3 linked regions of the Coturnix japonica genome follow. The protein of the gene in region 3 purifies or fractionates together with the protein of the main gene of each other region. This does not show direct contact. Links are inferred from orthologs where the notes say so. Each region holds a gene or a part of one and is shown on either strand. Other genes may lie near its edges.

What was found.
Region 1: the proteins of COPS4 (region 3) and DCAF1 purify together in Homo sapiens (affinity purification with mass spectrometry; 4 studies listed by BioGRID, with this or other methods). This does not show direct contact. The link is inferred for Coturnix japonica from reciprocal best matches to the Homo sapiens genes COPS4 and DCAF1.
Region 2: the proteins of COPS4 (region 3) and CUL4A purify together in Homo sapiens (affinity purification with mass spectrometry; 7 studies listed by BioGRID and IntAct, with this or other methods). This does not show direct contact. The link is inferred for Coturnix japonica from reciprocal best matches to the Homo sapiens genes COPS4 and CUL4A.

Annotation. Positions count from the first base shown.
Region 1 is NC_029527.1:1,250,099-1,255,172, forward strand, and holds part of DCAF1 (DDB1- and CUL4-associated factor 1), read right to left. Parts: intron 3,053-5,074; coding exon 2,976-3,052; intron 2,665-2,975; coding exon 2,591-2,664; intron 1,726-2,590; coding exon 1,612-1,725; intron 360-1,611; coding exon 222-359; intron 1-221. UniProt on the Homo sapiens protein: Acts both as a substrate recognition component of E3 ubiquitin-protein ligase complexes and as an atypical serine/threonine-protein kinase, playing key roles in various processes such as cell cycle, telomerase regulation and histone modification.
Region 2 is NC_029516.1:123,891,847-123,896,920, reverse strand, and holds part of CUL4A (cullin-4A), read left to right. Parts: intron 1-423; coding exon 424-493; intron 494-1,896; coding exon 1,897-1,970; intron 1,971-2,864; coding exon 2,865-3,027; intron 3,028-4,524; coding exon 4,525-4,614; intron 4,615-5,074. UniProt on the Homo sapiens protein: Core component of multiple cullin-RING-based E3 ubiquitin-protein ligase complexes which mediate the ubiquitination of target proteins. As a scaffold protein may contribute to catalysis through positioning of the substrate and the ubiquitin-conjugating enzyme.
Region 3 is NC_029519.1:41,185,574-41,190,177, reverse strand, and holds the end of COPS4 (COP9 signalosome complex subunit 4), read left to right. Parts: coding exon 1-139; intron 140-489; coding exon 490-660; intron 661-1,005; coding exon 1,006-1,121; intron 1,122-1,490; coding exon 1,491-1,575; intron 1,576-2,547; coding exon 2,548-2,681; 3' UTR 2,682-3,097; downstream 3,098-4,604. UniProt on the Homo sapiens protein: Component of the COP9 signalosome complex (CSN), a complex involved in various cellular and developmental processes.

The sequences.
Region 1 (5,074 bases), on a different chromosome or scaffold from region 3:
TTTTAAACACAAACAGTGTAGCAGAATAACTGGGCTTCATACCCCAGCCTCAGCAAATTCAGTCAGGAAAGGACAGAAAGTATGAGCTACTGAGTGAATATATTATTATAACCACTATAAAATGCATACACCAACACATACATGAGAGTGTCACCACATGCTCTCAATAAAGAGAGAGCTATCCGTCCTGTAAACGAAAGTGCGCATCAAGAGATCATTACCAATTGTGAATTCTCATCCCTGTAATTCGCAGCGATATCTTGGTTTTCCATAGCTCCTCCTAAAAGCCCTGTTGCATACGTCCTTAGTGGCTGATCAGCTTCACGTGCCCATTTAAAGAGATTTTCAACTATGCCTTCCTAGAACGCAGAAAACAAGAAAGCAATTCCAAGAGTTGAGCATTTCTTTTTCCTGTCAGTTTTACTAATAGAGCTCTCCAGCAATTTGGCAGTTCCAAAGAAATGCTGTTGAATTTACACTAAGTTAAAAATAAAATAAAGTGGTAAATTACATTTCTCTAACAGCTTCGTAGTTGAAAAGTCACTTTAAACAAGCAAACTTCCTGGTGCAGAAGGAACCCTTTACATTAACAATTTCTCACCAATCAAAAGAGCAATCCTCAACAGCTGTAAAAATGTACTGATTGGGGAAGGGAGAAATGTATGCCATTATACCAACCCACATATAGAAAACCACAGTGTTAAATACTGTTAATATTTTAACAGTAAAACTCAGAAGTGGTTGAACATGGCCTGCCAGGCAACTTTTCTTAACAAGGCTGAATGCCAAAGAAGTGTTGATTAAAATAGTTAATTAAAAGACTACATGTTAGAATGAAAGACTCTATTATTTTTTCCTGTAGATCATTATTGGATTTTGAAACACCAAACCATAACATCATTAGCATGACAAGACCTTGCACACAGCCCTGCACATAATTTGAGATGTAGGTACAACACAGTAAAAGATCAGTTAATAGTAATAACAAATGGACACGCTGCAGTAAGAACCTCCAGCTTACAGTTTTTTGAAGAATTGGGTATTATATATTCAATAATAATTAAATTTTAATTGAAGCGTTCTCTCGGCCTGCCCTCACAGGGAAGGTGTTCTTGTGGTCCTCCTCTGGACATGCTCTCTTCTGTACTGAGGACTCCATATATGGGTGCAGTACTCCAGGTCTCACCAGCAGAGAGCTGCTCTATCCTTACATCCTCAGATTATACTGATAGTAGGGGTTACCATGACTCAGGTGCCAGACCTCACACTTGGCTTTGTTGAACCTCATGAGGTTCTTCAAGGCCCATTGCACAAACCTGTCTAGATCTCCCTGCATGACCTCCCATCCCAGAGATATGCTGAATGTACCACACAGAATTCCAGTTCCTCTGTTTGAATCAGTCCTCTTAAAACCTCCAAGCTGTGCAATACTCAAGATTTGATCAGCTGAACAAGCCCACATCAGAAAGCCTCAAACCTTTCATAAGGCTAAACAGATTGTCTCCCAGAGGTAGGATTTAAATGCTGCTTTTTACTGGTTTCTCCTGTGGGATGAGCTGTTGGAGTACGTAATACACCAAGCTTATAAACTAAGCCTCATATACAAGATACCTTTTCCTGAAAGACAACAGCAGTTTCCAATCCTGGCATGATATCCAGAAGAAGTCTGCAGGCAGCAGTGTTTAATGGAGGTTCTCTGCTCGTCATCACATAAGCATTCACTAGCTAGAAAAGAAGAGGAAAAGCATCAGTTTGAAATTCAGGAGTAGAAATAACTTCTCTAAGAAGCACAATTCCCCTCTGATCTGATGTTCACTGCTTAAATACTTTTCTTGAGCTGATTCATTAAGACAAATGCCTAAAATAATTACAGCTCAGTAACAGTGTAATCATGTGAGAGTAATAGCTGGGGAGGAAAAAAAACATTAAAAAAACACAAATACACAAGAAATACCACACTTTCTTAATGGCATTTTTGTTTATCAGTTGCAGTTTAAGACAGAAAGCTCCACGTAAGTCATCTGGTAGAAAACTTACAGCAACATGCACTGATACAGGGGGTGCACTGAGATGAGGGCAACAAAAACTCTAGCTATTAACTCATGTATGGGTAGAGCAGTGCAAGAGAAAAGCCAGACTCTTGTCTCCAAGTGCTTGGCCTGAGCCTGCTAGAGCAGATACACCTGCTCATACAGGCACTCCAGCATTTCCAAGTATTCACAGACAAAGCACTGGAATTAGTAGTTAATTTCTACTACAGAAATTAATTATGCTTTTAAACTTTTATCAGGGGACCCGCACTTTCTTTAAAGAGACCAATAAATGCTGAGAAGTACTAATTCAATCATTAATACACATATTCCAGTACTCTTGAATAGCTGATGAACTGCCCCTTTCCTTGGGTCACTCTAGCAGCAGCAAACAAGCTGCATTCAAACACACTTTAAAGGCTACTGCTAAGGAAAAAACAGACCCACCAACAGTAAAATTAATATTAAACAAGCACAAGTACTGAGGTCAGTAACACAGGAAACAGAAACATTAAAGTCTTAAGAAGACCTGACAGGTACCGTCCTCAGAGCAAACCTACCGCATTCATGAAATCATCATTCTTGAAAAGTATCCTTAGTAAGTGACCAAGCATACACTCAGGGTCTGCTCGACCTGTAGAGGAAACAGGAAAAGACGTATGTACCTCAAGACTTCAAGATCAGTGCTAAACTACTGACTTCAGTCTGACTGTGGAATAACGCAGTCAGCTGTACCTCTCTTAGATACAGAACTATAGAAGTCATATGAATTACTGATCAAGTCAGAGTTTCCTCTAGTTGCAGTTACCTACTTAAAACATATACTAGTCACAACAGACACTGATCAGTAGTGAACAGAATTAGGCAAGATTCCGCTTACTTTTAAATATGAATTACCATATACCAGCTGATGCAGAGCTGACTAAATCATTCAGAATTCCTTACCTGGGTGTCGGTCATCAAAAGGGTCTGGATCCCCTTTGCGGTATTCTTCAGTCTCCTTCTCAATCAACTCAGACATCCTATAGAAGGAACGACATAAAATAAGCACAATCCACTCTATCCTGCCCCAGTACGCAGCTCCTTGTGTTAGCCTACTTGTCACAGTACTATCAAACAGCTTATCAGCTTTCATTTGAATGGCATCCAGAGGATTTCAGACTGCCCACCCAGAAGGGTGAATACAGAGCCTTGCTTCTGACATCCCATTCCCCACCAGCCCTCCAAAACATGCTGAGACCTTATCAATGACCCCAGTGACAGACAGGTGTGATGCTCTGAAGGTGCCAGTACTGTTTATTTACTCATGTTAGAGCAGTATTTCAAAAACATCAGCAGATTCATCCCCTTGCCTTGGTGTACAACCTGATTCCCTCCCCTCTGCTGAGCTCTGAAGCACAGTGCAGAACCTACAGGCAGTGCAGCATTTTGAATCAAGTTTTTAATACCTCCAAACCGGGGAGGCAAGTCGAGGTTATTAGAAAGGAGGGAGAATTGCTAGAAGGCTGCAGCAATCCCCAGAAACATTTCCCCAGAGGATTCCCTTACAGAATGCCATTGACTTCTGCTGCATTAATGACACTTTCCAGAAAACAAATTGCCAAGGTCAACCAGAGGCAAAAAGCTTATTTAAACCCACCTCTGTGAACTACACTGACTAACCAGTAGGACAGAAGATGATGCTATAAAGCCTGCTCAGACTGTAAGAACACAAAATTAGCTCATCGGGATCAAGTACTTCCCTGCTCCTCTCAAATTAATTGCTATATCAAACCATTTATCCTGCAAGGTTTTAATATTTCCTTTTAGTAAGGCTGAATGTGAAGAGATGCAAATTGCATCCCTTGCTAACAGGTGGCACAGCTCAAGCTCTTCTGGCTTTCTGGCAAAGGCTAACTACTGAAGTACCTATTGCCAGCTCCTCATTTTTCCAATGGGAACTAATAGCTTGAGAAGCACCTGCTGACAGAACTGGGACAAATGGGGAGTTGAGAACCTGAACCCTAGATTTGCTACGTCTTTTTAGGTGATAATACTGAGTACATGCCAGGAAAGACTGACAGGCAGCACAGAAAGTGAGCTGAGCACTCTCCTTAGTCCATGGTGTTTAGGGAGGCAGCCAAACAGCTGAAGCTGCTGAGTGCTTCCAGGGATGACAACATTATCACAGCCTGGATGAAACAGGCACACGAATCACTGATTATCAGCTTTGGGTGGTTGTGTTTATTTTGAGACAATTAGGCGCAATCATTTGACCAAAATATGAAAGCATTGCCTCTTCAAAATTGGCTTTGAAAGAAAAAAAAACAACAACAAACCCACAAATCAAATATTTCTTTGACTGAAGGCATACAAAGAGTAACTATGAAGTGCCTTGGATGCAACTATGGCTTATTCTAGGAGAGCTTATTCTGCTCTCCTATCATTTCTACTGAGAACTGACAAACTACTAAAGCTAATTCTCACCTCTTAATACAGACATATGACACAAAAGGCTTTAACAGCAAACACGAAAAGAACAAACACAGAAGTGCTGAGCTTTTATGCAGGTTTCAACATTTCCTTTATTCACTTGATATTAAGCTGGTTCTCTACCCACACAAGGTTCTACATGAGGGACAGGTGTTCTTCCCCCCCCCAACTGTGGACTCTTTTTTTCCCCAAATTGTTTACAACTGTCCCTGCAGATCACCTTTGAAACTTAAAAGTTAGCTCACTTAGAAGGCAAAGAAGGAGGTTGTGGGGACATTCAAGTTGCAACACTGCCACTGATGCAAAAGGCACAATATTGAGGCACCTTTCTAACAGACTACAGACAGGATGCTCTGCAATACCGCACTGCAACACACCATACCCCATATTTGGTCTGTGGAGCTGAAGTCAAAACACGGTGCTCCTGCTGTTGTCTAAACACTCACTCCTGTGCCCTCACCTCTGCTGCCTCAGAATCACATTTCACCAGGCACCCGTGCACAAAGGGAAGTTTTCTTCCAAGTAACTCAGACGGCAGAAGGAAATAGAAAAACATCACTCACCAACAAGCA
Region 2 (5,074 bases), on a different chromosome or scaffold from region 3:
ATTGAGGATTATTTGGAACTGCAAATGCTTTCAAGAGATTAGGGTCACTCCTGTGGTGCGCAGTGTGAACTCATTAAACAAAGTAAACCTTTCTATCCAGCTCACCTCCATGGGTGATAAGGTTGGTTTTGACACTGATGGGATTTCTTACTTACATCTATATCAGAGCTATGCAGTGTGGTCGGTAGATGGTATTAGTGAAGGGCTGTGTGTGTTGTTCCTTGAAAACATAGGGAGGTTTATTGGAGAGCTGCCAGTTCCTGTGCTGGACAGAAGCTTTGCAATTAACCGTTCATCTCTAGGCAGTCCCAGCAACATCGGAATATCCACGAAGGAGATTTGCTCAATGGCTGGCAAAGATCATCTCTGGAATCTGACCTCAAAAGTTACTGGCGAGCTAGTTTTCCTTAATAGGTGCTGTACAGATTCTCTGGATAGTCTTTTATTTTTAAAGAAGATAAATAAATGCTGGCAAGATCATTGCAGACAAATGGTAAGTTGAGTGTTTGTTCAGAATGTGTATCCTTGAGAAGTACAGCCTGGCAAAAGGGAGCTTTTAACTTGGGTCTGTGATGCGCTTCCTCCAAGTTTCAGTAGGACTTTTCGCTTTCCCCTTTACTGGCTGGGAGCCGTTCTGTTGTCAAAAGTTACATTCTGCTGTGTTATTGGTTTGCTCTTCATTGATTTCCTAGTGGTAACCAGCTAGAATATCACTCAGAAACATATTGACTCTAGTGAAATCATTCAGCAACCAATTCTTCAGTCTTTGCTTATAGATCACTCCAACTAGGTTAATTTGTGGCTTTTATTTTGTATTTTTTTTCAAAACAGAGCTGAATATCCTGACTTACTGGGCTGAGAAACAGGAAGAAAACGACTCATAAGAATTGGCCTTTTAAGATACTACTTCATTATAATTCTAAGTTTTCCTTGCATTGTCACCAAGCTCTGGCTACAGGTGCCCAAAATTGTGGGGCACCCAAATTACTTCCTTTTCCCTCCCCCATGAGGGATGGGCAGGGATGTGTATGTGCATTTTATCTCGAATGAAACGGATAGTGTTGTGGAAAATATTCTGAACAAATTCTGCAGTCTGATGAAATTAAGGTTGAAGGTTATTACCTTGAAAGTTTGATTAAACTGGACCTGTGTTTTTATAAATATATGGTGTTTTCTTTCTGTGAACTCTGTTCTCTTTAATTACTTTTGAGAGTTCCTTTTGTTGGTTTTACTTATTCATGTTTATTCATCAGATCAACAACCCTGTAGGAAGTGGCTTTCTTGTCCAGGTGCTGAGGTAGTACCTGTGGTGTTCAAGAAAACAAAACAAAACCGATCTTGTTGCTATTTTACTTTAACGTGGTTGGCTAGAAATTGTGTGAGCTTGAGAATTGCTTTAGAAGCACTGAAATCCTTTAGAGGAGGATTGAGTAGGCATCTGAGGATAGGCAATTCAGTAGCTGGCCTGGCAGTGAGTTATGTATGGACATCCTGAGGTACTGTAATGCTAAATTAAAAGCTGAGCAGCCTTTTGAATGAAACATTTTTAAGTGAAATATGTGACAGCAGTTTACTGACAGTTGATAACTATGCTTGAGTAAATATGTATCTCAGTAGCACTAAGACTTAAACAGCACTAAGGCCAATAAAACTATTCCATTAATTGCTTATGAATTTGAAAATTGTCTTGAATCTATTCAGTTACAGTGATTAGTCATAGCATTAATGTTAACAAATGACATACCAGTAGAGATGCAGGTCACCAGAAGAGTCAAAAATAGGTGTAGCAGCAATGAAAAATCATGTGTCTGCAATGTAATTTTCCAGAATCTGCCTTATAATTTAAAGTGTTACATGCTGTCAAAGAGAAAAAATGTTTCCTTGATGTGTTTTCAGATCATGATCAGAAGCATTTTCTTATTTTTGGATCGTACATACGTACTTCAGAACTCAATGCTTCCTTCTATATGGTAGGTATCTGCATGTGTGCTCCTTTAGTCTGTACAATTTGTGCTGTATTTATAAAGGTTGAAAATATAATTTTTTTTTTTCCTCACAATATATTTGAGCTGTGTAGTAGGTTGATTAAATTTTTGTGTTAATTTATGGAAAATTAATTCTGTAATATCCACCTTCCCCAGGAGGTAATATGAGGGTAAAATAGGAAGGTCACTGTGGATCAGCTGCCAAGTTTGGGTGAGGCTGCTGCCCCTGGGCCTTCTCTTTCAGTCTAGTGGTTCTTCAGGTGTTCCTGGTTTGGCAAAGTTCAGAGCTTGGCTATTGGCTCTGTTGTTTTAAATGTTAGGTGCACTCACAAGGTGCAGATCATGTTTCCTGCCCTGGCCTTTTGTGAGTTGAGACCCGGGCTCAGAGCTCTGAGGTTAACCCCTGCTTGCTCCTGCAGTTTGAGCACCCCACAGCCACGTCTGTTTCTCAGCGTCCTTCCTGAGAGACATTTTGTATAATCACCAAGACAAACAAATCCATACTTTGCCACAATTTTCTGGTGTCTGTATTCTGTCTAAAGCAAGAAAAGATGTAGATAAAATACTGAAGTAGCAGCGTGCCTCTTCCCTGCGTATATTACTTCTGTGCTCTCCCCTCAGGATGGGGAGGAAGATGGCAGCTTTTTGTGATAGTTCTTCTTATAGAATATATACATGATTAATAAATTCTCTCTGTGTAACGTATAGGTGAGCATAATAGGTGAACAGTTGGACCGGATGATCTTTTAGGTCTTTTCCAACCTTGGTGATTCTATGATTCTATATTTATATATAATACGTATACACACATATTTTCTTTAACATGCAAATTTGAAAAGAACCAACAAAGTGATGTCTTAATTTTCATTATTCACACAGGGACATGGGGCTGGAATTATTTAGGAATCATGTCATTAGTGATAAACAAGTTCAAAACAAGACTATTGATGGAATCCTCCTGCTGATTGAAAGAGAACGAAGTGGTGAAGCAGTGGACCGAAGTTTGCTGCGTAGTTTGTTGAGTATGCTGTCTGATCTGCAGGTGAGTACAGCAAACCTCAGCCATTACCACTAGTTTTAGAAACTGACTTTGGACTATTCTGGCGTGTGTGTTATACAGAAATAATTTTATTCTAGTAAATATGTGCTTCAAAATCTGGCAAACAGATTGAGAAGGCGGTTCCCTTTTCTTTGCCCAATCCACAGTCGTTCATTCTGTTTTTTAAGTGAGATTTCTGTGCTTGTTTTCTTCTTAGTTGCGACATGTCTGTGTTATTTGCTTGTTTCTGCTTTCCATGTTAACTTTTCTGACTTTCGTCCATAACACAAAAGATTTAGAACTGATAATTCTGTTCAAGAGAGAAGAAGGACTTCTTATGATATGAAAAATCATTAGCAGATCTGAAGACGTAGATCTGATTTGTGTGCTCTTTCCCACTTTTTTTTCCTGTTACTTGGCAGTCTTCTCTTAACTGCATCAGTTTTTTGTAGGTATTACCAGTGAGTGCTACTGTTTTGTTTCATTTTTGTTTAGCAAAATACACTGCTAACTAAAGGCATCTCCTCTATTAGATCCTTCTTACAGGTCTGCATTTCAATCTGCAGTCTTCTTCACTCTCTCAGAAGTGTTTTCTTTCTTCACTCTAGAACCTAACAAAGTGTATTCTTTTATATTATCAGGCATGAGTGTGCTTTTGATCCTGCCTCCAGGATCTCTGCTTCTCTCTCCTCTTTCATTGGAGGTTAGCTTGTGGTGAAAGATGAATTAAGAACGCAAATCTTATATTTCATTCAAAAATAATTAAGCTCTTTCTCATTCCTGATTTTTAGGCAATTACAAAATTGGAGACCAACTGCTGAAAGCTTATTCCTGCTTGCATCAATCTTGTTCTATTGCAGTTCCCTGTTGTAAAGCTTTATACGTGGTCTGTGTAGAAATAACTCCTTATTACGTTAGCATAGGTCAGAAAGTTAGTGAAGGAAAGGAAGGTAAGATATAAAGTCTTGGGTTTGATTCAGTTTAAAGAGATGGCTAAAGCAATCAGTTAGTGTCTGCTTATGACATTGAATACTATTACACTCTGAATACCTGTCAAGCCAGAGATTTTGTTTGATGCGCTGAGGAAAAAGCCAAATATTTGAAAGTACTTCCTTATCAGCTTTGTTCCTAAGGCACGTTACTGAGAGTATCATCATTTTACTGTTGGGAATTACCTGTTTTGTTTTCCCAGTTGGAACTGGCCCAGAAATATCAGTGGGGGTTTTGAGCTCACGTGGATTAGATGTCATTGCTGTGCTGTTGTGTTGAGTGCTGGTGTTTGTGTGAATTAAACAGAAACCTGTCAGTTTAGACACGCTGGGAAGTCAACTTTAATTGTAGTCTTTCTAAAACCAGTGGGGAAAAAATCAGATTTCTGCATTTATATAATTTTAAACATTTATTTTGCCTTCCTGAGATTTTACTTGCCTCCAAGTAAACCAGGGTACGCTACTTTTAATGGCAGCTTAATGTAAGTAATTAAATTGATTTCTTGAACAGGTTTACAAAGAATCATTTGAACAGAGGTTTCTGGAAGAGACAAATTGCTTATATGCTGCAGAGGGCCAAAGATTAATGCAAGAAAGAGAGGTAGGTGCATGCTGTAGTTAACTGGTTTTATTTTAGTTCCATCTGCTATGGGATTATGTGGGAACTTCTGGTAGCACCACAGAGTGAATACTAAAAGAAATTTACAAGGGTAAATGATGATTATGCTTTGGGGACTGTGGTATTGTATCAAAGAGAAGAACCAATTCCAGTTTGCCATGATGTTGGGTATATGTATAGATATCTAGTATTTGTATATTGCATATAGAAACACAAATGAAGGGTAGGGAAGTCAAGTGACATTTTTTGTTGCTAAAGTCATGCTGCCAGAATGCTCATCTCCATGTAAAGCTTAAAAGCGTGCCATGAATATGGTATTTTTCTGAAAAGCTGTGAAATATCCACTGCCACTGGTCTACTCTGTATTTAATAGCTAAATTAACTGTTTACTTGTTTTAAGAACTTTTGTTGCATTTATTTTGCTGTTTTGTTCCAGTTACTT
Region 3 (4,604 bases):
CGAGTTCTTGATTATAGAAGAAAGTTCATTGAGGCTGCCCAAAGATACAACGAGCTGTCCTATAAGAGCATAGTTCATGAAAGCGAGCGACTGGAGGCACTGAAGCACGCTTTGCATTGCACTATTCTGGCATCAGCAGGTAAAATATGATACTTTTTTATGTAAGAGATCCGAAATACGTATTCCTGAAGCAAGTCAACTTCTGCATTACTGGGGGAAGGAGCTGAGGAATCGAATCCAGAGTTGTGAGCATGGTGTCAGGGTTAATTCAGAGCTGGAGTACTTGTTTATTTGCCAGTGGTGTGGGGCCATTTAAAGATGCAAAATAAAGTCAGTGGCAAGCAGTGCTTTGGAACTGAATGCAACCCAGTCTTCTCTGGTAGAACTTTGTTGATTGTATGTGTTAGAAAGAGAGAGATCTTTGTTGTTTATCTGCCAATACTCAACTTCTTGGTGGCAACTTATGAGGATTCTTCATGGCTCTCTTAGGACAGCAGCGTTCTCGCATGCTTGCTACACTTTTTAAGGATGAGAGATGCCAGCAGCTTGCAGCCTATGGGATTCTGGAGAAAATGTACCTTGACAGAATTATTCGTGGAAACCAGCTGCAAGAGTTTGCAGCTATGCTAATGCCTCACCAGAAAGCAACTACAGCTGATGGTATGTATTTCTCTAAAGCCTCACAGCGCTGCTTGTTCATCCAGGTTTGCCCTTTGCGTCCCTAAGGGTAACAGAAAAAAGCATCATGTGATCATTTAAGGTTATTTCCCACAATGCAAAATAAAAGGTTCAAAGCTACTTGTATTAAAAAAAAATTCACCACAGGAAATCTTTCTGATCACTTTCTTTATTTGTGGCGGTAGGCTGATGCCATGCAACAAGATGCACCTGTACTTTCTGCATGTATAACCTTCAGAAAAAAAAAACACACTTTGCATCTGTTCTACAATATAAACCAAATATCTCATTTATATTAATGAATTGTTGTCTCATTCAACCCATAAGGTTCCAGTATCCTGGACAGAGCTGTTATTGAACACAATTTACTATCTGCAAGCAAACTTTACAACAATATTACCTTTGAAGAGCTTGGAGCATTACTAGAGATCCCTGCAGCTAAGGTAATGGCTTCCAACACCTTTTGTTAAAAGAAAAAGCAACACAAAGCAGCAGGGATGTAAGAATAGCTCTAGTCAATATTAGGAAAATTAGTTTACTGATAGGAAATTAAATATTCAATACTGGACACATGACAGAAGTTAAGTTAGCACATTTTATGAGAAGGAAGGGGACACAGTATAGAAGGGACAGTAACATATTTTGATGCCACTAAGTATGTCAGTTGGTGCATGATGAGATGTTTTCGGTATGGTTCTGCCTATATCCCCATGTAGATGAAAAACATATAAGGACTATCAAACTTGTAATGGATTATCACTTCTTTCAGAATGGATCAGATACCTAATATCGTTCTTTCTCCCTTATTTCAGGCAGAAAAAATAGCTTCTCAGATGATAACTGAGGGACGCATGAATGGATTCATTGATCAGATTGACGGAATTGTTCATTTTGAGAGTAAGTTGGGATTTTTATTTTTTTTTAATTTAATTTGTTTTGTACCATTCAGAATTGTCCTTTTGAGTTGTTGTCTAGTAAAGCAAACAGATTGTTTACAACTGCTATCTATGATGTATGCTGTATAATGCTGTAGCCAGGAGGTGGCAGTATTTTGCATAGCAGGGAATCATAAAGTGGCTTGAGTTGGAAGAGACCTCAAGGATCATCAAATTCCAGCCCCACTGCCACAGGCAGGGATTCTCATCACTCATGTGCCTCTTCCAGGAGGATCAGTGATATTCCCAGGTGCAGAGGTGAAGCTCACTGGCCTGTAGTTCCCCAGGTTGTCCTTCTTCCCTTTCTTATAAGTGGGAGTGACATTTCCTTTTTTCCAGTCACTGAAGACTTCACCTGACAGCCATAACTTTTTATATGTGATGGCAAGCACATCAGCCAGCTCCCTTAGGACCCTGGGATACATGTTGTCCAGCACCATAGACTTGTACATGTTCTGTCTTATGAGATGGTCTTGGACTTTCTCTGCCTGTGCAGTGGAGATCCCACCAAGAGGTTCAGTGATGTGAGATTCAGCGTTGTGAGAAATATGAGAAGCCAGACTGATAGTTAAGACTTAGGCAAAGAACCTCAGCCTTCTCCATATCTGTTGTACACAGTTCTCCTTTGTCGTTTATCAGAGGAGGTACCAGTTTTCACATGTCCCTCTGTTCTGCATTCTTTTATCCATATCAAAGTGTGAATTTATATTGCCAGTCTCCTTGTAGGATATCAGGAATTTCTCTGCTTGCTTTTTTGTAAGGCAGGGGTTAGGTTTGTAATGGGCAGTCAAAGTCATTTAACTTTTGAAGACAGAACAGAGTATGATATAGCCGCAAGGCAGGTCAGAGCAGTACCAAAGGTGAAACTTGCATTTAAACAATGATGGTGAATTGCCAAGACTATACTTTTGTTTTCTGTGGTTTCCTTTTGCAGCTCGGGAAGCTTTGCCAACTTGGGATAAGCAGATTCAGTCCCTGTGTTTCCAGGTGAACAACCTGCTGGAGAAGATAAGTCAGACAGCACCAGAATGGACAGCCCAGGCAATGGAGGCTCAGATGGCTCAGTGACTGCACAGCCATGGTCTTCTGTGCTGGAGGGAAGGAAGCTGAGCAGGACTGTTTGCTGAATGAATAACCCACCTTTGTGTCCACACCTTTCGCTTTCACTCTGCCTTAGGACACATTAGGCGATACTGTGTTTGTTGTGAGAAGTTCCACTGTTCTCTGAGTGTAGGATGAGTTGCTGCATCTGCGTTGTGCTTTGCTGTCCTGAAAGCTGTGGTTTCTGCATAGAAGCTGCCACGTCGGAACGAGCTTGGGTTTTGGTTTATTTAATGTCGTTTGGTTTTCCACCGTATTGCTATAGCTTTGCAGCTTATTACTTCCTAAAGTGTTCATCCCACTGTGAAAAATGGAAGTGCCATGTTTCTTCTACTTGTAATTATTCTAATAAAAGCTGCAGTAAACCACTTGTTTTAAGTGTTGGAGGGACCTGTTGGCTTTTCTTTTACCCCAAAGCAGCAACACAAAATAATTCAAGGTTTTAGAAATGTCTATTTCAACCCCTGAAAATGTAAACTGAGGAAACAACTCGTCAGCTCTTCTGTGCCCTGCTTCTCTATCTGAGAAGTCTTAATGCTGACTGTTCTGCTACATTGGTACAGCAGAAAAGAGATCTGTCTGGTAGTCTGTGGGTTAGAAGTGGCCATGGAAAATAGGTGGAGTAAGAACAAGCATTGTGGTAAATGATTTGAACATAACATGAACCAAATATTGGAAAGCAAGTGGGCACTCCGTTTTCTTCTGTAGGTCAGCAGAAGTTTGATAGCTTAGCAATACTTCATATTGCTACTTCAGTAGGTGGCAGTAGAAGACAAGCAGACCAAGAATGAACGGTGACTGTACTATATGCATCTTTGCCACTCTCTCTTCATCAACAGCATCAAAACTTAAAGTTGACTTTGGCTAATCATTGGATAAATGATTTTATCTCCAGTTTACCTTTAAGGTATCTCTTTAAAAACTTTCCCGATAGTTTTGAAGCCTTGTATAGTAGGAAAAAAAGCCCCATGTTTATGTAGACAGTGTAAGACAGGCACCCATTCAGAGTATCAACAGAAAAATACACTCAAATGCTTGTGATGAGGCTTTTGTTCAGTTTAGTAAAGTTCAGGGATTTCTTTTGGGCCTGAGATGTGAACTGCTGTGATGTCTTAAGTTCACTTCCTTAGCTACTCACACCTTTAGAGCTTGGAATATTCAGCATAACCTCGGTTAACAACTACTCTGGAGAGGGTCAGACATCACTGCCTCATTGCTCTAAATGGGTTCACTGTTGGCATAGCTTATCCACAAAGGTTGCTTATGTTTGTATTTGACTCAATTTATGTTCTCGTTGACCCTTCAGTACTCAGTGACCCATGCAACATATGTTTTTTTTTATGGACGTGGGGTTAACTTAGATGCACACACTATTGTCTGCTGAATCCTACAAGGAGAATGATTTGTGCTTCTGCAATAACAGTAATTTCACCTTGTTACAACAGAACATGTTTTATTTTTTGGCCATGACTTCACTCATTTTGCAGTTCTCCTCTGGGAAAAAAAAAGCAATTTCAGGAACATCTGAATTTAAAAGGAACAGTTGTACAGAGACACCGTTTCCAAAACAAAGATAAACACAAAGGACTTGCTTGGCACAGGGGCTGATAGAAAAGATAGCAACTGGAAAATAATTGTGTTTGCTAATAGTAAATACGTAACTTCCTTCTCAAAGAGTGACACTGTGATATGGGCATTCACAAAACCTTAACAGATCTTAATAGTCTTTTTCTATTTAAGATGCTGGTGTTTAAACTTTGAATCTGCAGAGGCTTTTGTGGCTGCTTCTCTCCATTCTATTGGGAGTTATATTCAATCATTTGTTTAGCTTGGTACCTTGGATCTTTTCCAAATCATGAGCCATTTACAGGAGCAAAGCAGAGCTGGGGG